Linked DNA regions of Caenorhabditis elegans. The protein of the gene in region 4 interacts with the protein of the main gene of each other region in a pairwise test. Each region holds a gene or a part of one and is shown on either strand. Other genes may lie near its edges.

Region 1 (4,374 bases), on a different chromosome or scaffold from region 4:
ACGTGGCACTCGAATATCAAACAATGATTAATTGTTCTTTTTGTCCTTTGATTTGAAGGTATTTCTTCGCTTTAAAAACATTTGATATGAATTTCAGATGAAATCAAGTGTGAATAAGTACAGTGCTCCACATCGCATCGTCAGATTTCTCGTAATTTGAATCGTTCGAGAGATATGATTTCTCGATATGCTTCCAATCCTGCGGCTTATGGCCCCAAAAAGTCTTCTGGTCGCCCACCACTTTTTTCTGATCGGGACAAGCGGAATATCGTTTGTCGAGCATCCAATTCAACAGTGACTTGCTCGAAAATAAAGAGCGAGATGAACCTGCCAGTGTATGTTGAGACCGTACGACGAGTTCTTTCGAAGTCCCAATTTATTAAAAGAAGAAAATTGAGAAAGGCTCCATGCGTCACCAAAAAACACCGCCAAAATCGTATCCAGTTTGCGGATGCGATTACAGATATGTGATGAGGCGCGGTTTGATACCGTTTATCCGTCGAAACAGGTCCAGAAAATACACTTACCAACAAGATGGAGCGCCTTGTCACCGCGCGCGTCGTACAATCAAGTGGATAAGTGACAGAGGGCTCCCTGTTCCCGACTCGCCTGCCTGCTCCCCGGACATAAACATAATTTAAAACGTTTGGGGATTCATGATGAGAAAGATTTACGATGGAAACAATAGCAATGTTAACGACCTCAAAAGAGCAATTCTTGACGCATGGCATAAAGTTGACCAAACTCTCCTGGACAATCTTTAACTTTTCATGGATTCACGCGTTTTTGATGTGATTAGTACAAGAGCTCATCCCGTGGATTATTAATCATCTCTTGTTCCTTATTTTTCTAAGTTTTCCTACTTTTCTACCACCTGGCCGTATCATTTTGTGGAGTTTTTTAAATAGTTTTTCATGAAAAAATGTTTTTTTTTCTTTTTTACGAACGCTTCGGGTATATTTCCATCACTTATCTCAAAGCTAGCCAGTACAACGAACATTTTCACATGAAACTATGTTTTGCTATCTTAACCCAGTTTTGAGTTATACCAAAATTTAGGGGTGGCCGTATCATTTTGTGGAGCACTGTATATAGATACGAACAAAAATTAATTTAAAAAAAAACATCAAGGAAAGTTTCATTAAACCGAATCATTGAATCGATGACTGCGAACTTTGAGTACTTGATGGTTCCTCCTCAATTCTAACAAATCGATTCCGTTGCTGGGTGTTGACGTATCTGGAAAAATATCTGATTAGCTTATATACAAGAAAAATTTTCAGAAAGAAATACTTTATTGCGCACGTTTTGTAGTGCTAAACTGATTTTTAAACGAAATTCTAAAATACCTTATGTCGAAATGCAGACCATCCTGGGTGCTGGAATCAATTGGACACAGCCATAATCCCCATCCAAACACTGATTGAAAATTATTATATTTCCCCATATTGTAGTCAGCTGCATTATCAAATCTTAGAAGAGCTGGTTTTGTTTGTTCGACAGTTGTCTCGTTCAATGAGATCAATTGATAATGGAATATGATAAGTTCACCGAGTGGATAGTAACCAAACACTCCGCCGACAATAAAACTGAACAAGTAGAACAAAAACTTTCCCAATTCATCGGTCCATTGTTGATTGATAAAATATCGAACAGCACCTTCTAGTGAAGTGAGCAAATACCAATAAACAAGAAAACTGGTGTAGATAATGTAGAGTAGAAAGTACTTGTAATTGACGTGTGTAACACACATGTTTATCCATGGACAGTGATGATCATACTTAATGCAACACTTCCCACATGAGCTACAATGTCGGGCACGATCCGGTTTGATATGTCCGCACTCGTAACAATACTTGAGCCTTCCCACTTGATCACATTCAGCGACGACTACTTTACAGTAAGTACACATCTCCTCCAAAATAGTATTTTGTTGTGCAAGCTGAAAACTTTGTTGGTGTATTATATAAAGTGTATTTAGCATCCATAAAATAAACAAATAATAATAAAAAACAAAACAATCAAGACAAGATTAAACCACTTATTTTGATTTTTTCACTTTACCTGTTCAGGTGTCGATTTCTCTACCACGTATCGATTTTTCTCCATCGGTGTGACTGCTTTCAATCTATCTTCAAGTTCTTTACTAGGTCGATATCTTTCTGGAACTCTGCCAACTCTCGTGAACAACGTTTTTGCAAGACTCCACATTGACATAACAAACAGAAATGATCCAACAATCAAATAAATGGTTGCTTGAATTGTTGACTGAACGTAATAACCAATTGTCACTGTCACGTACATATAAAGTCTGCAAAAGACCCAGTTAAATGATTCGCAAACAATCAAGAATGACTCACGACCACCAGAGCAAAATAAGTTGAATGAAAAGAAGTACATTGAGACATCTCGTCAAAATCCATCCAGTGATTTTATGTTTAGCGCGGTATTCTCGCACTGCTACGTAAATCTTTGAATACCATGACATTGGTTTTCACTTTTAAATTTCTTGTCTAAATCATATAAACTTTATTTGGTTCAAATCATGTTCAAAAGAACTTACCAAACGACTTCCAAATGCAGAAATGATTGAGAAATATTCAAAAATTGTAAAAAATGTACTGCTGGATTGCGTGAAGTTTTATTTCATTTACCGCAGGAGTAAAAAAATACCGTGGCATTTAGAAATAATGTTTTGTGAAAAAAATTTATGGGACTTTATTTGTTGCTGATTATCGAAGAAATTATTTGGAAGTTAGAAGTAAATTATTTCAAGCATTATTATTATTTATTGTGAAAAAAATGAGAAAATTGTGTCATATATACAGAGAACTGATGTCAAAGTTACGCATTCGATGTCTACTTTCTCTTGCAACACTGTCCATTTCCACATGGAGAATAGTTTTGCTGGCACGAGCAGGAGTTGACTGATTGTGTCTGGCATGGCATCTGGGCTGGTTGAGCAGCAGAACAGGATTGAGAGCATGATTGGGTGCAAGCTGGAGCACATTGTTGCATTGGTTGTTGCTGCTGAACGCATTGCTGTTGGCATGATTGCTGGCATTGTGGTTCACATTGTGCAGATTGGGAGACTGAAGCTTCCAGAATGATTGTGACAGCTTGTGGAGCAGCAGTAGTGGCAACTGGAGCTTGGCATGCAGATTGGCATTGCTGGCATTGTGGAGCAGATGGTTGCTGGCACTGTGGAGTACATTGTTGTTGGCACTGTTGAGTTTGTTGGCACGAAGTCTGACATTGTTGGCAAGCTGGTGCAGATTGCTGTTGACATTGTGGAGCACACTGTTGCTGACAAACTGGAGCAGCTTGTTGGCAGGTATTCTGGCACTGCTGGCACTGTGGAGCTGATGGTTGTTGGCATTGTGGAGCACACTGTTGTTGGCATTGTGGAACTGCTTGCTGGCAGGTGGTCTGGCATTGCTGGGTGCATTGCTGATTGCACTGTTGGGCTGGAACTTGTTGTTGAACACATTGTTGTTGGCATGATTGCTGGCATTGAGGAACACACTGAGCAGAGATTTCCATGTTAATCTTGATTATTTGTGGAGCGGCAGTAGTGGTTGGAGCACATTGTTGAACACATTGTTGCTGACATTGTGGCTGACATTGTTGAATTGGTTGAGTTTGAACACATTGCTGTTGGCACTGTTGTTGGCATTGTGGCACGCATTGAACTGCAGCTGGAGTCTGGACAACACAGGATTGTTCACAGGCTGGCATGCAGGATGGTTGACATTGAACTGGAGCTGGAGTAGTTGGAGTATAACAGGAAGAAGTCTGACAGCTTTGTTGGCATGTAGATTGACATTGACTAACAGATGGAGCAGATTGACATTGGTTCTGGCAAGACTGCTGACAAGCTGGGGCACATTGAGAAGCTTGAATTTGGTAGGTTTGTTGCTGAACTGGTTGGGCACATGAACAGGATTTCTGGACTGGAGCAGTGTTCTGACAGGAACAACTGTACTGTTGTGGTTGAGTATAGGTGGTTCGTTGGCAAGAGCAACTTGGTTGAACTCTTGGAGCACAGCCACAGGATTGGCGTTTATCGCGAATTGTTGTTGCCTGGAAATGATTTTTGTGAAATTTGACTGAAATCGTGGTCAATCGTGGTCGACTGAAATCGTGGAATATATAATCTTATGTCTGCAAGCAATGCTCAAGAAAAACAAATATTTGTTAAATTTGGGTACTTAGCCGATTTTTTTGGATCGCCGCTCAGCCCTGTTCAACAACTATTTAAAATGAACATTTGGCTCAACAATACTATTAGATGGCCATTATACCTCAATAAGGAAACAGCTTGAAACAAGAAGAGCTGCAATTGCGAAGAAGCGCATGATACGGTTCGAAAGG
Region 2 (6,669 bases), on a different chromosome or scaffold from region 4:
ATAGCAACAAAGGCGAATTCTCTGGAAAATGAGAAATCCGCAACACAGAAGGCTGTGTAGACAAATGTGAGGCGGGTAACAAATTCGAGTGCAACTCCAGCTAAAGCGAACGTATCAGTAGCTGCCAATCGTGGAAGTTGATCAACTTAAATTCGATTTAAAATTAAGAAAAAAGAGTAATGAGCTCACCTTTGCAAAATTTGATAATGCTGAAAAGAGACATGGCTACAGAAGCAATACCAACGAAAATGATTGAGGCCCATGCGTTTGGATAAATCCACCACGCCAGGGAGTCTGAAAAAGAGAAATGTCCAATCATAGAAAAATAAATAAACGTCAACCTTGAACTGAGCTGAAAGGGGCCCAAATCGTGAGTTTCAAAATGGATACTGTGACAATGAAGAAAATGGTGGACAGATATCCGCATGCAGCACCAGCTAATCTCTTTCTAACACTGATTTCCGCTTGAAACCAATCCACGATTTGATCGAAAATTGTGATTGGCTTCTGTTGAACACGCGGTGAACTGACTGTGCGGTTTGGGGACCTTCGCAAGTTTGGTGAAGATGATGAACTGCTTGCAGCGGGAAAATCGTTCTTTCTATAATTATTCTCATTGTATGAATCTTTACTTAATTGATACCTTCTTCCCGGAGAAAATTGATTATATAGATGTTCATCTGTCGTTGTTGTGAATGAAGAATGACTATCACCCATCATTTCTGAAACAATAAATCAGTGAATTAGAGTTCCAAACGGGAAAACCCATAAATAACAAATAAAATGAAGTTTAAATGATAATTTATTTGAATTCAATTGGAAAATAATCATTGAAGTTCGAGGAAATAATAAGAAAACTAATAAATGAACGAAATCATTTCGAAAACTGCGCCAAAAGGCAAATAAATTTGAACTCGAAAAGTACATTGTCATTGGAGCGCGCTTTCCCCAACGGCGGGAAAGTTAATTTTTCAAACATCATTCAGACGACAGTGGTTACTGCGGTGGTGGTTGTTCCTTCTGTTGGTTCTTTGTCAGGTTCGTCGTCTTCGCGTTCACTCAATGAAATATCTGGAATAGATGATTATTAATGTTTAAATAAAGTTAATTTTACCTGAGTCATCAATAATTGCGTTACTCTCCTCATAGTATAGCTCAATCCCGTTAATACATTGCATTTCCTCCTCGCATTTCACACAGAAAAGAGTCACTGAGAAACAGTTGATACAGTAAAAAGCACTACAATGAACACACACTCGCACATTTCTGAATTAATAGCTTTGTTTTCTTGATCATCAATAAACAAAACTAACTCTTGATCAGACACTTTCATATCGTACTTTTCACATTTTACACAATCGGAGCACACGAATCCACGACTTTGCATTGTTCTCCGAATTATGACATCTTCACCACCCACTACATCTTTCTGTCAATTATCAATGTTACGAGTGCAAAAATTACTTTTAAATCAAATCGGAATGTCAAATTCAGGAAAAAATATATCTGTTTTTGAATACTATCAATTCGCAAAATCGGGATTTATCACTCAAAAAATACGGTACCGGTGACGTAGTGATGTAGTAAGTAGTACTGTAGTGGCTAACTTTTTTTCAATGTTTAAGTTGTGAATATCGAGGAATTGAAAATATTTCAGTCAACTCGAGACCGGAAATTCCCATTTACCTTATTATTTCCTAACATTTCTGTCAGCAAATTTCGTCGACTTTGTAAAATTTTGTTATAAAGGCTCAATGCACGAATTCTTACTCGATTCGGAAAGAAGTAATCTGCCAATACAAGTGTTTGCCTTCCAAAATATGCCTTCAAAAATTAAATATATCTTAACAGTACTCCTCAACTCTTCAAACCTTCAATCGACAAAGAAAAAGTGCAGCGATAAACATGAGAAACATCACCATATTTTCTGTATAGTTTGGAGGATTTGGTTCGTTGAAACATCGTCTCCAACGATTTTCACGGTCTCGAATACTTTTAGTAAATGGACTGAAAACATCGAGAAATTCATTCATCACATCTGACATTGAACTATTTCCAGCAACTTTCAATTCATAATGAGCAGGAGTATCGATATTTGTTCGGTTCATTAAAGTATGAACAGTTGATAGAGTCTGAAACTTTGAATCTATAGATTTGAAGTCAATATAATTTTATTCATTTAATTACCGTAAATATACCATAATCAAGCATACACATAAAGAAAGGAGTGACACAACTGACAATTGTGATGAAAATATCTAATCGAAATTTAGGTCGCTCTTGTTCTGTCATTTTCCACTGACCTCGACTGACATACTAAACGGTGTCTAAGATTTTTAGAATGATAATGAACCAGAGAAACCTACCTGCTTTGATTCATTTGCCATTAATGGCATGACTTTACGAGCTCCGCGAAATGCACAATCTTGATCAATTTTTGTAAATTCTTTTGTGAGAAAACGGTTTTTAAAGTCGTCATTATAGTTGTAGTTATACATGAACCGAAGTGTCTGAAAAATATCAGTTCAAAATTTTGTATGTTAACATATTACTTATTTAAACTCACATAGATGAACGGCCATATGAGCAATCCTGGCATGATACAATATCGAAGAATAAATGAAATTATATTGATAATCCGTATGTATACATTCACAATTCCCATCAAACTTTTCTTTATACTTGCTCTCAAGTTTGCAGTTGTATCATCTGCAGCATTTGGTTTACCATCATCAGATGACTGGTATTCAGCTCGAATGTTTTTCGCCTTTTTTATCTCTTCTATCACTGGATTCACTTTCTTCAGTGCCCATTTTGCTGCTTCAATGTGTACGTAGAAAATCTTTTTCACCGCGAATTCAATTGCTTGAAAGTAAGCTGCATAAAATGGTACAGCTGCTCCTTTAACTCCTTTTCCAATGATAGAAGGTAAAGAACATACTTCCGTTGAGAAACCCTTTGCTTGATGGCAAATCTTAATGTTTTATAATAGGATTGATATGTTGACTGATTGAATACCTTTGCAGTTTTCTGAATCATTTCACAAGCATCGCCGTGGCTTCCAAAAAATCGAGCTTTCCCCTTACAATAAAAATATGCGTCGTCGAAAATATCAAGACATTTTGTATAGGGAGTTTTGAGCATATTTCGACATTGATTTGACAAGTTGGCTATAACTCGATAATGTCGCCTCATGATGTCCACAAATCTTAATTGAAACAATATCAATTTAATCAAATTACAAGAATTTGACATTTTGGGTATCCCAATTGCAACTTACTTTGTCATCTTTTCATCTAGAACCAATAGCATTTTCTTGACCTTATTCATTGGACCAGATACATTTTGAAGAAGTGCACGAAACCGAGAAACAAGCATAGCTCCTTTATCCATTACATTCCCTTCCACATCATTTCTTGAACTCATAACATCAATTTGAACGCAGGCAACACCAGAAGCTACTTGATGAATATTTCCAATAACATTCATTGCAGGACCCTGAAATTAGTTTGAGATGTTCCCGTGAATAGATGAATTGATAAAACTTCAAAAGCCATTGTGACAAGAAGAATTAAAATTATGTTTTTGATTTTTGTAGTCAACATGACGTGGATAGAAATCATAAAGTACGTCATCATCTGAAACGAAATATTTTATTAATTCCACATAAAAATCCTGAAGTACTTACTTTTGGAAATATCAAAGTGAAAATCAGAAAAACGTGGATAATTGTGGATATGGAAGTTCCAATACTATATTGAAAATATTTAACTTTAGATTTAGGATATGATCTACTTACAACTCCGGGTATTGTGAATATTTGAACGACAACAGAAAATACATAACTATTCCAAATAATTCAATCATTAGGATGTTTCGGAATAGAAGTACAATAGAATTAGCTCTGGAAAAATAATTTTAAGATTTTCTTTTTTCTCAAAATAATTCCAAAAACCTTGTTCCATCTTCGAATAAATTGTCATAAATCCCATCATCTTTTTCCTTTTTCCATGGAGGATATAAAACGGACAACCATTTTTTCAAACGTTCAGAATATCTTAAAACTCGGTTTTGACCTGATTTTTCTCTGAAATTTTTCATGTGTTTGAACAAAATCCACACTCTAACCAACCGTCTGATATTATTAACCACAAATTGAAACTTTCTCACAGCTCGATTGGCTCGACGTTTTACATTCCATAATCCAATTAAGCCCATAGTTGATACAATTCAGTTAGATTTTAAAAAGGTGAAATAAATATTTTCACCATGATACGTTTTGAAAATTTGTGAACCGCTGGCAAACAGATTTGAGTTCACGTTTTGAACATTTTCTCCGAATTGGGAAACTGCAGGTGTCCCTTTTCTCGGCTTTGCTTACTAAAGAGCCAAGAGAGCCAAACGGATTGGCATTTGAGACCTATGTGATTCAATAGCTCATGTTTTGAAACGGTTATACGTGGAAAAGTTAGAATAAGGTTTTCAAGCAAAATGTGCCTACTTGTGTGCCTATGAAACCAATTATTTCGAATTTTTCAGAACTACGAGCTTCAATGGAACTATAGTATACACTAACTATAGGATATACATCTCTCGGAACCGCTGGCAACAATATTAATTTTTCAAACATTTGTGAACTGAATTACAGAATACACGTTACCAAAAGTACATCGATTGTTTATTTCTTTTTATCACCAGAAGTACATCTGATTTCGGAACAGGCGTTCACTAATTTTCGTTGCTTCATTGCAATGAAAAAAACGAGTTGCTTATCGTAATGCTTGTTATCATATCACTGTATCTATTGCCACTTCATATCTCATTTCCTCTTTTTGTAGGCCGATTTGGGTCAATCCGATATAGAGAACACCTATAAACAAACCCCTTTTTTTTCATTTTATGACGTGAACATTCAGATCCTCAATAAAACGGATGGGTGTGGTTATGTTCTTGTCCCCTCGAACACAACTTTTAATTGTATTTCTAATTCTCTGAAGAATTTCAGATTTCTGAAGAGAAGAATTCAATTGTACTGTCATTCCCGTCCCTTTTTGGGGCTTCCGACGCAATGTTGCCTCTTTTCAATAGATACGACGAATAAAAAAAAACAAAAAACAAAGAAAATGATTTTGCTTCCGATTGCTCACCAGGCTTCAATCTATACTGTACATTTTTCCCCAATAAATATAAAATTTGGATAGTAGAGAGACAGAAAATCAAAAAAAAATATATCGTAACTTGTATATTGTTCCATAAGAGAGACGCACAAAAGGATATATTTGATGGTGTGTGAAACCCGAAATCGTCGTGGTTACCCCCGTTGTCGGCGACAATTTCAACAGACTTTTCATACTGACTGGTTTTCGGTCGACAGTCATTTTTCACCCACTTTCAATTTGACTAAACTTGGTCAGTGTTCGGTTTTTCATTGGTTACACAACCTTAGATTTTTTATTCTTTGTGTTTGATCCCTGATTTGACTAGAAAACATTAATTTGCTTGTTTGATACTCAATTTCCCATGTGCCAGTTTAATTTTGACAGTTGTAGGAATTCCTGGTTTCGTTAAAAATTAGTATTTCAACCATTGATTTGTTTTTGAAGGTATCTGTTAATCTATCAAGAATTTATTGTAAGAAACCACAAACTCGCCAAAATCTTGGTTTTGTATTTATTTTTCATATTTATTTTTTGTATTATCTATTTTTTAAACTCACTTTCTTACTGACTTGGCTTACATAAATAAAACCGTTCAAATTAGATGATAGATGACTTTCAAGAACTTAAAATTGGCAGAGAGTTACCTTTTTCAAAATGATGCGTATAATTCGGCACAATTTAGTTTTCAACACAATACAACATAAACAAAAAGTAAACAAAATTTTTAAAAGTTCGTCAATTATCAATTTGGTCAATTGTACGTAGTAATTGAATCCTTCTTTCCATCAACCGTAACCATATTTCGACTTTTGCTTGCCCCTTTTCCGTTTAATTAGCCTTTCCTCCCACTTTCCCCCGTGCCCACCTATTTCCTCTCGTACTTTTTTTTATCGTTTTTCGAGTACCTTTTTTCTGCTTTTCATTGTGTTATTCGACCCCGTATTTCTAACTTTCTGCAACCTGTTTCTTGTTTTAAACTATTTTAAACAAGTCAACATTCCTTCCCATCTCTGTCGGTCACTTTCATCTCCTAATCGTTCAGACATTGTTGCGATACTTGAACTTTTATTGTACTGTTTTAGTCTGATTGTTTTTTCGCGTTTTAATGTTTCTCTCGATAATTCAAAAAACAAATAAGTAAGATGTAAACAATAAAACATCTAGTAACAGTAGGCAAACATGAACATGTACTTGATCGGCTTCCAATGGCGACTTTGCCAACAAATCTCTGTTTTGTTTTCTCTATTACATGTATTCAGCTAAATGGTGTGAACATGTTTTGTTCACTTTTCGCTGAAAAAAAACCGATTTTTTTGGGATTCCACGTCAACATTTTCTCATCGTCTTTTGTGTGGTTCGTATTGGAATTTATGCAAACTGATTTTTCATATTTTTCATTGCCAGTACAAACACACAATCGATTCAATTTTTTGAACATATTACAGAACGTCGTTTTTCTCTCAATTATTATTGACTTCACAAGGAACAGTTTTAATTGTACCTGATTTTT
Region 3 (5,399 bases), on a different chromosome or scaffold from region 4:
TCCTAGCTCCCTCCAAAAAAAAAAAACTCACGATGACTGCTCAATGAGCATTTCCAACGAGTTGTGCAACTGATCATTGTTCTTCTCAACAAAATATCTCGTCTCATAGCACACCGTTCCAGCATAATGACGAATCAACAATCCCTCGTCATCTCTCATTTCGCGATGCGACTTGACTTTCGACTTGCGCGGTGCATCCAATCGGAAGTGGTTCTTATTCGATTCGTGAGCTCTCTGGGTGAAATGTTGGAATGTGGCACGTGGCAATTTGGCTTCCTCATCGAGCAAGTCAAAGAGCCCCGAGGCTTTCTTCTCGAAGAGCTCAATGCAATCCAAATTGTCTGTGAACTCAATCTTCTGGATGTTCAAGCCCTCGGCTTCATACATTTCTTGCTCCTGCTTCAAGATTCTCTCGTTGAAAAAGTGCTGAAGCTTCTCGTTGCAAAAATTGATGCAAAACTGCTCGAATGAGTTAACGGCAAAGTACTCGAAACCAGCGACATCCAAAACTCCAATGTACCCTGTGCTCTTCTCAAATGGAATACTCTTGTTAATCTGAGCAACGAGCCAATCGAAGAGCTTAGAGTAGATTGCCTTAGCCAGAGCATCTCTTCCAGCAGACGCTTCGTGAGCTTTCAAAGGGACACGGATAAGGGTACCCTTGACACCTCCTTTCGTAGTTTGCATGATTCTAGCACATAGTCCAAGCTTCATCTCTTCCGGCTCCAAGCCCAAAAGCTCTGCAGCTGCCATCAACGAGTTTTCAGTGCCCGAAGTAATCATGCATCCACCACGAGAATCACTCGCGTTCTCCTCAAACTCGATGTTTCCAAGATGAAGGATCCCGGCAACTGTCGACCAGATGAACATCTTCTCATCGTCTGAAACTCCAGATAGTGCGAGAGCTCGTTCAAGCTTCGCAAAATCATCGATATCACTGATAATGGAATCAGAGACTGAAGAGTTGGTCTCGGAGAAGCGGCTTGCGTCGGTTTTCAGAGAAGACTTGGAGTTGACAAAGAACAGTGTTGCTCCGTGTTTCAAGTACTGAAATTGAAAAAAATTATCGATTTTTGCTGAAAATTATCGATTTTTGTGAAATATATTGATTTCTGTTGAACATTATTGATTTTTGATGAAAATTATCGATTTTTTGCAGAAAATTATTGATTTTCTGATGAAAAATTATTGACTTTTTCTTGAAAATTATTGATTTTTGATGAAAATTATCGATTTTTGCTGAAAATTATCAATTTTTGGTGAAAATTATCGAATTTTTCTGAAAATTAGCTATTTTCGGTGAAAATTATCGATTTTTGTGAAATATATTGATTTCTGTTGAACATTATTGATTTTTGGTGAAAATTATCGATTTTTTGCAGAAAATTATTGATTTTCTGATGAAAAATTATTGACTTTTTCTTGAAAATTATCGATTTTTGATGTAAAATATCGATTTTTGCTGAGAATTATTGATTTTCCGTTGAAAAGTATTGATTTTCTATTGAAAATTATCGGTTTTTAATGAAAATTGTTGATTTTCATAAAAGTATCGATTTTCAATGAAAATTATTGATTTTCTATTGAAAATTATTGATTTTCTAATGAAAAGTATCGATTTTTGATAAAAAATTATCGATTTTTGGTGAAAATTATCGAATTTTTCTGAAGATTATCTATTTTCGGTGAAAATTATCGATTTTTGTGAAATATATTGATTTCTGTTGAACATTATTGATTTTTGATGAAAAATTATTGACTTTTTCTTGATAATTATCGATTTTCTGTTGAACAATATCGATTTTTCATGTAAAATATCGATTTTTTGCTGACAATTATTGATTTTCTGTTGAAAAGTATTGATTTTCTATTGAAAATTATCAGTTTTTAATGAAAATTGTTGATTTTCATAAAAGTATCGATTTTCAATGAAAATTATCGATTTTCTATTGAAAATTATCGATTTTCTATTGAAAAGTATCGATTTTCTGCTGAAAAGTATCGATTTTCCTCAATTAGAACAGAGACTAACATTAAAACTGCTCGCCGGAGCCAATCTCAACTTCTTGTACAAATCCGGTGACGATCCGGCAATCAATTGATAGAAAATGTGGTAGTTTCTTTCTCCGGCAGCTTGACGGCAGACTCTCGATGTTTCCAGCAAATAGTGAGACACAAATCCACCGGCGACAGTTCCCTGGAAATTGTGGTTGTTGGTGGCCGAGTTTTTGAAATTTTTCACGGCCACATGGCCATCACTTGGGAAAAGCTTACATTATCAGAAAAGTGAATCTGCACAAATTTTCCGAATCGACTCGAATTGTTGTTGCGCAGAGTTTTGGCATTTCCAAAGGCTTCCAGGATTGGGTTGGCTGAAAATTTTAAATTTATTTTAGATCTTGAGCTTCAGCATAAATTATGGAAATTATCGATTTCTGTTTAAAAAAGTGAACATTTATGGTGCCAGACTGTCTCATCCATGGTTTGATCTACACAAAATGCGGGAATTTTTTGCCCAAAAATATATGACGTCAGAGCGTTCTTAACCAAAAGCGAAATCAGATGAGATGTCTGCGTTTCTGCTCCCGCATTTTTTGTAGATCAACGTAGATCAAGCCAAAATAAGACACTCTGACACCTTCCATCCATTTCTACGGGAAAAAATTCCCGGTTACTGCAAACGCGCTCTATTTCGAATTTTCCAAAAGTTCAAATTAATAATACTTTCAAGAAGTCTCTGCTGAATTGGTCCGGCGTCGGTTCCCCAGTTTTCACAGAGGTACTTCAACACTGCTTTCTGTGATTCAGTCTTTCCGGCTCCAGACTCTCCAGACACAATAATCGATTGGGACGTCTTGATACGACGCATCTCTCGATAGGCCTTGTCGGCGATCGCAAAAATGTGCGGCTCCATCTGACCGAGCGATTTTCCACGGTATTCTTTAATCGTTTCAGGAGAATAGAGTCCATCGATCAGTTGGTAGGGGTTGATTGAGATCAGAATGTTTGCCACGTAGGTCTGAAAAAGCCAAATAAAATAAAATATTAAAAAAAAAAAAAACAAAAAGATTTGACCCAGGCAGGGCTCGAACCTGCAATCTTCTGATTAGAAGTCAGACGCCTTATCCATTAGGCCACAAGGCCACGGAACAGACGCGCCGGAGAGACCTACATAAAGACGCTGACAAAACCAGCGGGGTGTCTCGCACACAGCCGTGCACATAAACACTCCACAGGCGGCCGGCAAGCTGTGCGCGTTTGGTCTAGTGGTTAGCGAGCTACTCTTTTGTACACAAGACCGGGGTTCGATTCCACATGCTTGCTCCATACTTACATAGATTTTGCCATTTGCATAACGCAAACGACAATTGTTGAGCAGTGTCGCCTCATTCAAGTGCACTAGAGCGCAATTGTCCTCGACCGACTTCTGCGGATCCTCCTCACAGGCCCATGTGTCCTCATAGCGACGATTCACAGTTTCCGACGTCTTTTCAGTGGCCAATGTGAAGCCGTTTTCCGCGATATCTGTGATACGGGCGGCCACAAAGCCCTCTGCTTCATCCGAAATCCACACGAGACGCCCGAAATCCGCGGTACTATGTGTGCTACTATCCATTGCTTCTTTTTTCTGCAAATACGCTCTATTGGACAGGGCGTGGTGAGTGGGCGAGAAGAGAGAGAGAGAGCCCAGACGACGAGAACATTGACTTACCACGTGCAAAATTGTTGTTTATGCAGGGAGAAAAACGGTAATGATTGAAATTTGAACTAAACGGTTTGGTTTCGATTTTCGGAAAATGCACGTGACAAAAAGGTTGCCCTGTGGCACGTGGAAACGTCGATAAAACATTTAAAATTAAAATTTATTGATTTTTCCTCAATGTCTCAAATTTAAAATGAAAAAGTCGATTTTCAGGCTTAAAACTTTGAAAACTACAGTAACCGAAGTTTAAAGGGGCATGCTTGTAATTTATCGATTTTCCTTAAATTTTTCAAAATTGGAATTAAAAAACACGGATTTCTGGCTTGAAATGGAAGAGTTGCCGAACTAGGCCATATGGGCTCGGCCATATCTGGGGTAGATTTACGGCGCGTTGCGTGTCGCGTCGCGGCTCGATTTTAGTTGTAAAACTAAATCTATTTGTCCGTGTGGAGTACGCGACACTTTCCCACGCGTTGTCCGTCAGGAGATTGTCAATGGAGCGCGAAAAATTCAATGAGAGTAAAGCCAGAAACCCGTGAAAAAATTGATTTCCAGACTTAAAACTTTAAAAATTACAGTACCCAAAATATAAAAAAGCATGTACGTTTCTAATGAAACAAATTGAGGGTTTCTCGATTTTTCGAACATGTTTATAAAAATTCTTATCGATTAAAATTTAAAGACGTACATGTCTGAAATCATTCGATTTCTGTGAAGTTTATTGGTTTTTTTTTTCGGAAAAATATACAGTACTCCATTTTTAAAGGCGCACAACGGTTTCAAAAATTTATCAATTTTCGTTAATATTATTATATAATTTTTCGCGCTCCATTGACAATCGCCTGCCGGGCGGGAAAGTCGTGTACTCCACACGGACAAATAAATTTAGTTTTACAACTAAAATCGAGCCGCGACGCGACACGCAACGCGCCGTAAATCTACTGATCCAAAATGGCCTAGTTCGGCAAAAACTCTCCCATTTCAATTTATGAGGGAAGCCAGAAATCCTAAAAATTTGAAACTCAAACGCGTTCCGTGGCCGCGGAAAGAGAAAACACCGGCCACAAACATTTTTTTCTCCAAAAAGGCCGTTTTCCTTACAACTTTTGCCTATAAATAAGGCGAAAAGTATCAAATTTCAGAATTTATGAAATATTCACCAAAAAGAGCCCGAAATTGTGCAAATATAAAGCCGCCCCACTCGAGACTGAATAGGTAAATGTGTATAACAATTAATATATTACTTTTATGAAACTAATCTCCCCTACAAAATAAACAAAACACAATTCGCTCCGCAGGGGCCCAATTCAATGGGAAAACAGTCTCGGACAATTGTTTGTGGGGGGAAACTATCGTGGAATTGAGGTCAAAAGAGACAGTGGATTTGCCGAAAAAGTTTATGATGTGGCAGTTTAGACATGTCTATTACCTGAAAATTGCGCGGAATTACACCAAGCGCGCTCTATTGCGCGCCCACAACTCGACGCGAAATTGCAGAAAATACGAATTTTTAGATTTTTTGTTTTTAGGTCTCGAAGCGAGGAGTTTAACTGCTTTTTTTCCAAATTATAGCCAGATTCACGGATTTCTGGCTTCCCTCGTAAATTGAAATGGAAGAGTTTGCCAAACTAGGCCATGTTGGCTCAATAGATTTACGGTGCGTTGCGTGTCGCGTCGCGGCTCGATTTTAGTTGTA
Region 4 (6,506 bases):
ATGAGCTCCTAAACTAGAATAGCTCAAAAACATAATTGCTCTGATAGCAGAATTTTGCAAACCACAAGAGCCTTTATGAAGTTTTTCAGCAAAAATTATTGTCATTTTAATAAGGAACGAACCTTTTTTTACATTTCTGTATAAGTTTTGGATAAAAAAAGTTGGATTATCATATTGAAATAAGCCGGTTTGTGCGTTTGCCGAAAACAATCGCCGCACAGCCCTGTCCTCCACCAACTTTAAAAGTTAAATTGGACCAAAACGTTATTTCTCATCCCAATAATTTCCAGGTTCAAAAACGCGGTCTTCTATGTCTTCTCTCGTGTCTCACCTCTCTCGATCACCTTGAAGTCCTCGGAATCCGTGCCTACTCTCATCACCTTCTCGCCTTACATATCAACTTTCCAAAAACCATAGTCTCAGATTATGTCGAATCAATATCCATCATAATTCCACCTATTCCTCCTCCGATCCCTCCATCAGCTATTGTCAAAGCCTAGCAATTTGATTTCTGTGTTCTCCCCCCAGTCCCTAAGCCCGGTTTCAGAATTTTCAGGTAACGAATATCGCATTAAAAAGTCTAGTCATTTTCAGCCTTATTTTCCCCGGATTTCTTTTAATTTGTTAACTTGTTTAGATGTATAAAAAACGTATGTTTATATTGAAAACTATTTTAATCCAAGTACTTGACTGTAAAAAAAATAATGCTGATCAGAAAAATTAGCGGGAGCAGGAACATCGCACTGAGTTGAGCCACCACCCAGTCGTAATTCATGACCATCGTCTGAAAAAAAAAAGGATTTTTGAGCTTTTAGATAAAACATTGGCCTGCTAATTTTAGACATTTTCAAGTACACTTTCTTGAAGTGAAGTTTGCAATATGGAAAGAAAATTTTGAAAATTAAAAGGTGGGAGTTTTATTTTATTTTTTACATTTTGGGCTTTTTGACTAACTGTTGCGGTATTATAGAGGAACTGTAGGGTTGCTGTAGAGCTACTGTAGATACGGAAATATGTTTCTGTATGACTACTGTATGATTACTTCAGGGTTACTGTATGATTACTGTAGAATTACAAGAGTATCACTACAGGGTTATTGCATGGCTTGTAGTTTTTGAAAAAAGATTAAAATGTTCAACAAAAAAATTGATTGCAAAAAACCGTTAAAAAGTATATTATTTTAATGTTTTTAGATCGAGTCGGAAATTTTTTTCGAAAAACAGGAAAAAACCAGAAAAAACTAGGCTTCTTGTTTTTCAGGAAGGTATTGAAAAACGACATGAACCCGAAAGTAAAAAAACATTTTGGAAAACAAATATTTTTTCTTCGATTTTAAGAAAAGAAAACCGAAAAATAGACACATCTTGGCTTTTCTGTTTTTTTTTTTAATCTGAATGTTCATATTTGTAATTTTTGAAGGAATATAATTGAACCCCAAATTTCGTCTTTTCAATGAAAATTAATCTGCCAAGCAGCCTCTAATAAATGCCGAGTGTACAGACTCCGCCCCTTTTTCGCGTTTTTTCGCGTTTTTTTTTGGCTTGCGAAAAAATGTCACACACGTTTTCATTCACAACTCCTGAACCGTGTGACTTCATGCTCTAATATTTGAAATCCTACTAGAAATATTTTGCCCCACGGTGGAGCAGAAAACGACACTAAGTTCGGAGCAAAATTGAGCCCAGGGCGGCTTTCCCCAGTTTGAAAAAATTTTTTGTTGCTCTTTTTACCCCCAAAAAAGCATGTTTTAATTGAATTAAAATTCGGGTTTTGCTCGGTTTTGTTCCAAATTTCTGTGCAAGATACTACTCAGAGAGACTGATTTTTTGAAAAAAAGTTTGAGTTCATAAGTGCAAAAGAAAAAAAGTTGTGATAAAACAAAAGGCCAAAAAATGACATTTTGCCAAAAAAATTTTTTTTTCCGAAAAAGTAGTTTTTCGTCTTTATCTCAAGTTCTACTTCATCTTTTTTGATATTTTTTTTTTTACACCACGTAAAAAAGTACGCTGAACACGATTTTTAACTCAGAATTGGAAAAAGTTCTATGAGTCGGCCGAGCAAGACGAATAAGTGCCAAATTTTGCACACTTTCCCATCTTTGCGAATCTACTTTTTCAATCATAACTCGGTCAGTTTTCAAGTTTTCTTAGTTTTCTAAAAAATGACGTGTAGGTCTCATCAAGACGCATCGAGACATATAAAATTTGTAAAAAGTTCAGTGGGAAAATTTTTCAAGAAAAAAATAATTCAAAAATTTTGTACTGGGAGGAGTGGTTTCCTGGGTCCCCTGAACATTTTTTCCACTAAAGTTTCGCGGAATGTATTTTTAATTCATAGTTTTTGATTTTATTTAATGGAAGATGAAGTTTCGTCGCGTTAGCAATGCTCTGCCAAGAGATATTATTTTTTTTAATTTTCAGGCTAAAACTTGTTTTTTTCTATACATCTGTCTGTGTACAAGATATAGCCCTCAACTATACGTCTCCTTTTCGGGAATTCAATAATGAGTACAATCCTGTAATAAAATTTTCAAAAATTAGGTTTTCCGCTGACTTATCAGTGATAAACGGTTTTCGAACGTCTTCCCCAAATAGTAATAATTGAAGAAAGCGGAATCGAAAGACGACTTCCTCCAGAAAATGTTCTTCCCTACATCCCAGTTTAAGGTGTCACCCGCATGGCCGAGTGGTTAGTGCGTATGACTGCAGAAATTTTGGTTGTTGGTTCAATTCTACCAAGTGTCAATTTTTTTTTGTTTTTTGTGAGTAATCGGGATTCGAATAGAAATACTCAATTTTATACAAAATATGGGTACGTCTCCCCTAATATAAAGCCTCCTCAAACTTCAATCAATCAAAACTCAGCTTTAACTGATTCATCGGGTGCATCTGTTTTTGGTCAAACCGAACTCAAAAAACAAGAAGACTCCCATTGACCTACTGAAATTTTCACAAACCCTCTAACAGGTTCGAGGCGAAGTCGAGAACCTACGCCCGGCAAGGGGACTCGCCTTACACCCCTACAACTGGCGGGCCCGCAGGGCCCGCTAGTCGAAAACCCCCTTAAAAACTGACCGGATCCTCATAACACCTATACCGACACAAATCCTCCTTAACACAAACGAGTCCTTCTCCACAATCAGTGTTCAAATCGCATTGTTTCCAATGCTTCATCACTTCTTCTCCATTCAAATTCAATTGTCCTATCACCCACAAATTACCTGTCTCGTTGTGACAGAACATGAAATTGTATTTGGTATCCACTTTTTCCGTCGAAAAACAGTCCATGTTGGTTCGAAATGTCATACTTCCGAATGTCAGGTCGGTTGGGCGAGTTATTTCTGGAATTTAGTGTGGAATTAGAATTCAGTTTTTTTTTAAACTTACTTGGTGGGCAGCTATACCCCTTGTAACAGAGGCCACCACGTTGATCACTACTTCCAGAATACACCATTCCCTTTTCGACGTCTTTACACTTTTCTTGGCCATACAATGGAGTTATTCTGTCAGGACAAAACGGCGAATCAGCGGCTTTTGGGTCAACTGGAAATGTCTATATTTTAACTGAAATTACACGAAGAGGGTTACAAACCATTGCAGCAAAATTTGGTCTCAAGATCACACCAGCCACTGTATCTCTCCAAGGATGCTGTACAATCTCTTGATCGGTTACAAGGTTTGACAGGGGTGTCCGGCATGCCGCCAATGCAGATTTGTTTGGCTGAAGATAACAAGGTAAAATAAAGTTTTATTGCCCCCGGCATCTCTTGGGTTTTTTTAACCAGGGAGGTGCCGGGCGCTGTCTCTCTAATTCCTTAAACTCACTATCCTTGACACATCTCTTTTCGCTAAGCCCGGTGACATTCATACACGCTGCGAAATTTTTTGGGCAATCGGATAAAACTGTGCATTTTGGACTAGACGATAATGAAACTGAAATCCTTATAGCTTTAGTTAAAATAGAAATTAGGTAACACTCACAGTTTCCAGATGCCTGAGAAAATGGAATCAGGAAAATTACAGCTAGTATCATAATTGATAGTTTTAACGGAGAAATAATTTTCGAAAGACGGTGTAAACGTGGAAGAAAAATGGGGAAGTGGTTTTTTTTTTCAATGTTCACGTAAAACGGAGGCATGGATTAAATCGTGGACAAATTTATATTCTGAAAGAAGTTGACTGAAATTCAAGACCTAAAGTTTCAGGCTGTGTGAGTTTTTAGAAAGTATGGCTTTTGCTTTTTTCTTAGCTAAATGAAAGTTACATGTACCAACAATACATACGCCCACAGTAACCTTATAGCAACGCTTTGTAACCCTACAGTACCACTACAATAACTCTACAGTAACTAAACAGTAGTCTTACAATAACCGTACAGTAACCGTACAGTACCCGGTTAGTAAGCCTACAGTAGCACTACAATAACCATATCCCTTTATTAACTCTATACTAACCTTATAGTAATCCAGCTGAACCACTACAGTAATCCTGCTATTTTGTTCATCGCGGTACTCAATCAATGTCGGCTGCACAGTAGGTTCCCGCAGGTATACGCAGCCGACATTGATTAAGGTTTACGATGAAACACTCGTTCCCACGTATCTCTTGCGCCTCTCCTATCATACCTTTTTCGAATTTCAGGCATTAGGGGTACTGTAGATTTATTCTGTTGCAGTTGTAGGTGGCTATTTTAGTATATTGAGTTATTTATCAGAAACTCCCACTAGTACTTCTTGCACGGTCGAATAGTTTTTCATATTGATATTGAGAATTCACCCAAATATACGTGGCCATCTTTCAAAAATATATAATTTCATCATATTTTTATTCCAAAATATTCCAAGTATATCTGTTCTCAAAACCAACCTCATTGTTCACATATAACAACGTCACCAATTTCAATCATCAAAATTCACAAAAATAGAATTTTGAGGTGGTAATAATCCGCGTATTTTTTTTGTATAAATAGGAAAAGTCTGAGTAAGTGAAAAGGAATTTTTGATTAATTTTTGGTTATTTTGTGTCGTGTGTATGTGTGGTCGCCGATATAATTAATTTGATACGTTTTTTACGATGATGATGATTGCCCAATTTTGACAGAATATTTTAGCATGTTTTTGTTATGCCTACAAAAATTTCCAATTTTATGCGTTTTCTTATCCTGTGAAAATCTATCTCTGAAAATTATTTTCCTATTGGTGCACCTTTAAATGTAGAATCTGTTTAAAACCGCTCCTATAGTTCTGAAATGCCCAAATAGCAAGTAAAAGGTTTCAAATAATTCTTGAAATTTTTTGAAATTTTCAGTCAACGTTTTTGCAAATTTCCTAATTTATAGAAATTTGACAGAATTCAAATATAAAATTCGTACTTTGATTTTTTTTTTTTCGGTTGACACTCAAAATTATGAGCCACAATTTTTCACTGAAATTTTTAAAAAAAGTTAATGGGTTTTAATGAAATTGTTTGTGTGCAAAATCGCATTCAATTTAGCCGGTGAGGTGCTAAAAGGGCGAGTGAAGAGGCGCTCCTTGCGCCTCCGCCGGGATTAATTAGGTGTAGGTAGAGACCTTAAGGCTGCCTGAATTTTTAGTTTCCACAAACGATTTTAGTTCTGTGAATATGTTTTCAACAATCGCATACATATTTGCTATGAATTTAAGTTTTTTTACAAATCCAGGAAAATTTTCAAACTTCCAGAAAACATTTAGCGAATTCCGACATTTTTGTTTCAGAATACAATAAATATTTTCTTGATCTCAGGATTTTTTTCACGAGAAAAAAATTGATTCCAGAAAAAATCGTTTTGTAAAACTCCAGATAGCCATTTACCTAGACCTAGTTTTTACAATTTGGCATTCTCATTTTTATAAAATTGGATATATTCCATCCGGCCCGGGTGGCAAGGAGGTGGTTGCCATGTGGCCAGAAAAGTCGAGCCCACGTGGAGTGTTTAAAAATTTACTTCTTAAACTATTTTTGTCAAAATGTCAAAAACTCCTTTCACCGACTCATATTTTATTTTCGACAAACAATAGCTACCCAAGAAGAACATCTAAAAACAACCCTGCTCCTCTAATCCCTCAAACTATACATAGTTATATCTTTTCAAGTCAAATCTTGAAAATAAAATCTTAACTATCACCTATCTAACTGACCACAAATGCTACTTCACCTGAAAAGAGCAGGGGATTTCAAGCATGTCGCGCTTGTCCAGTTCATTACCAAAAGAGCATAGTAAACATTGAATGACGAACATGCATTGTTTCATTGTTTAAAGCTTTTCCCTAAAATATATCTATGAATCACGTAATCAAATACGTCTATGTCACTTGGAGCATAACACCTCGTGAGCTTAAGTGAGCTCCGCCTCCATATGTCTCAGAGTTCCCTTTTCTTTATAAAAACTGTTTCCTCATTGTTCCTTTCGCCCATAACAACTATAGGTTTCTCCTTGGCAATTCAATTATTTTTACGAATTTTCGCCGTTTTTTCTCATATAAATTA

What was found.
Region 1: the proteins of spe-43 (region 4) and spe-10 interact in a two-hybrid assay, tested with the Caenorhabditis elegans proteins (one study listed by BioGRID).
Region 2: the proteins of spe-43 (region 4) and spe-42 interact in a two-hybrid assay, tested with the Caenorhabditis elegans proteins (one study listed by BioGRID).
Region 3: the proteins of spe-43 (region 4) and spe-15 interact in a two-hybrid assay, tested with the Caenorhabditis elegans proteins (one study listed by BioGRID).

The regions. Positions count from the first base shown.
Region 1 is NC_003283.11:10,382,462-10,386,835, reverse strand, and holds spe-10 (Palmitoyltransferase spe-10), read right to left. Parts: upstream 2,587-4,374; 5' UTR 2,564-2,586; intron 2,514-2,563; 5' UTR 2,489-2,513; coding exon 2,361-2,488; intron 2,312-2,360; coding exon 2,065-2,311; intron 1,943-2,064; coding exon 1,350-1,942; intron 1,240-1,349; coding exon 1,152-1,239; 3' UTR 1,096-1,151; downstream 1-1,095. Other genes in the region: pqn-2 (Prion-like-(Q/N-rich)-domain-bearing protein), read right to left, coding at 2,860-4,083, 4,305-4,358. UniProt on the Caenorhabditis elegans protein: Involved in spermatogenesis, specifically in the morphogenesis of fibrous body-membranous organelles (FB-MO), which are Golgi-derived organelles used for transporting sperm-specific components, in spermatocytes and in their localization into budding spermatids.
Region 2 is NC_003283.11:11,732,751-11,739,419, forward strand, and holds spe-42 (Dendritic cell-specific transmembrane protein-like domain-containing protein), read right to left. Parts: upstream 4,247-6,669; 5' UTR 4,219-4,246; coding exon 4,133-4,218; intron 4,088-4,132; coding exon 3,956-4,087; intron 3,905-3,955; coding exon 3,800-3,904; intron 3,753-3,799; coding exon 3,689-3,752; intron 3,639-3,688; coding exon 3,546-3,638; intron 3,499-3,545; coding exon 3,281-3,498; intron 3,209-3,280; coding exon 3,019-3,208; intron 2,975-3,018; coding exon 2,567-2,974; intron 2,511-2,566; coding exon 2,367-2,510; intron 2,317-2,366; coding exon 2,188-2,316; intron 2,133-2,187; coding exon 1,872-2,132; intron 1,825-1,871; coding exon 1,687-1,824; intron 1,430-1,686; coding exon 1,314-1,429; intron 1,267-1,313; coding exon 1,115-1,266; intron 1,072-1,114; coding exon 983-1,071; 3' UTR 790-982; downstream 1-789. Other genes in the region: npp-22 (Nucleoporin ndc-1), read right to left, coding at 1-145, 190-294, 342-601, 644-720.
Region 3 is NC_003279.8:1,444,883-1,450,281, reverse strand, and holds the start of spe-15 (Myosin motor domain-containing protein), read right to left. Parts: upstream 3,786-5,399; 5' UTR 3,713-3,785; intron 3,629-3,712; 5' UTR 3,617-3,628; coding exon 3,335-3,616; intron 3,148-3,334; exon of another isoform or gene 3,048-3,147; intron 3,020-3,047; coding exon 2,725-3,019; intron 2,373-2,724; coding exon 2,275-2,372; intron 2,198-2,274; coding exon 2,033-2,197; intron 1,048-2,032; coding exon 32-1,047; intron 1-31.
Region 4 is NC_003282.8:13,138,323-13,144,828, forward strand, and holds spe-43 (uncharacterized protein), read right to left. Parts: upstream 4,033-6,506; coding exon 3,981-4,032; intron 3,933-3,980; coding exon 3,825-3,932; intron 3,721-3,824; coding exon 3,592-3,720; intron 3,543-3,591; coding exon 3,387-3,542; intron 3,341-3,386; coding exon 3,075-3,340; intron 785-3,074; coding exon 674-784; downstream 1-673. Other genes in the region: B0564.9 (F-box domain-containing protein), read left to right, coding at 291-500.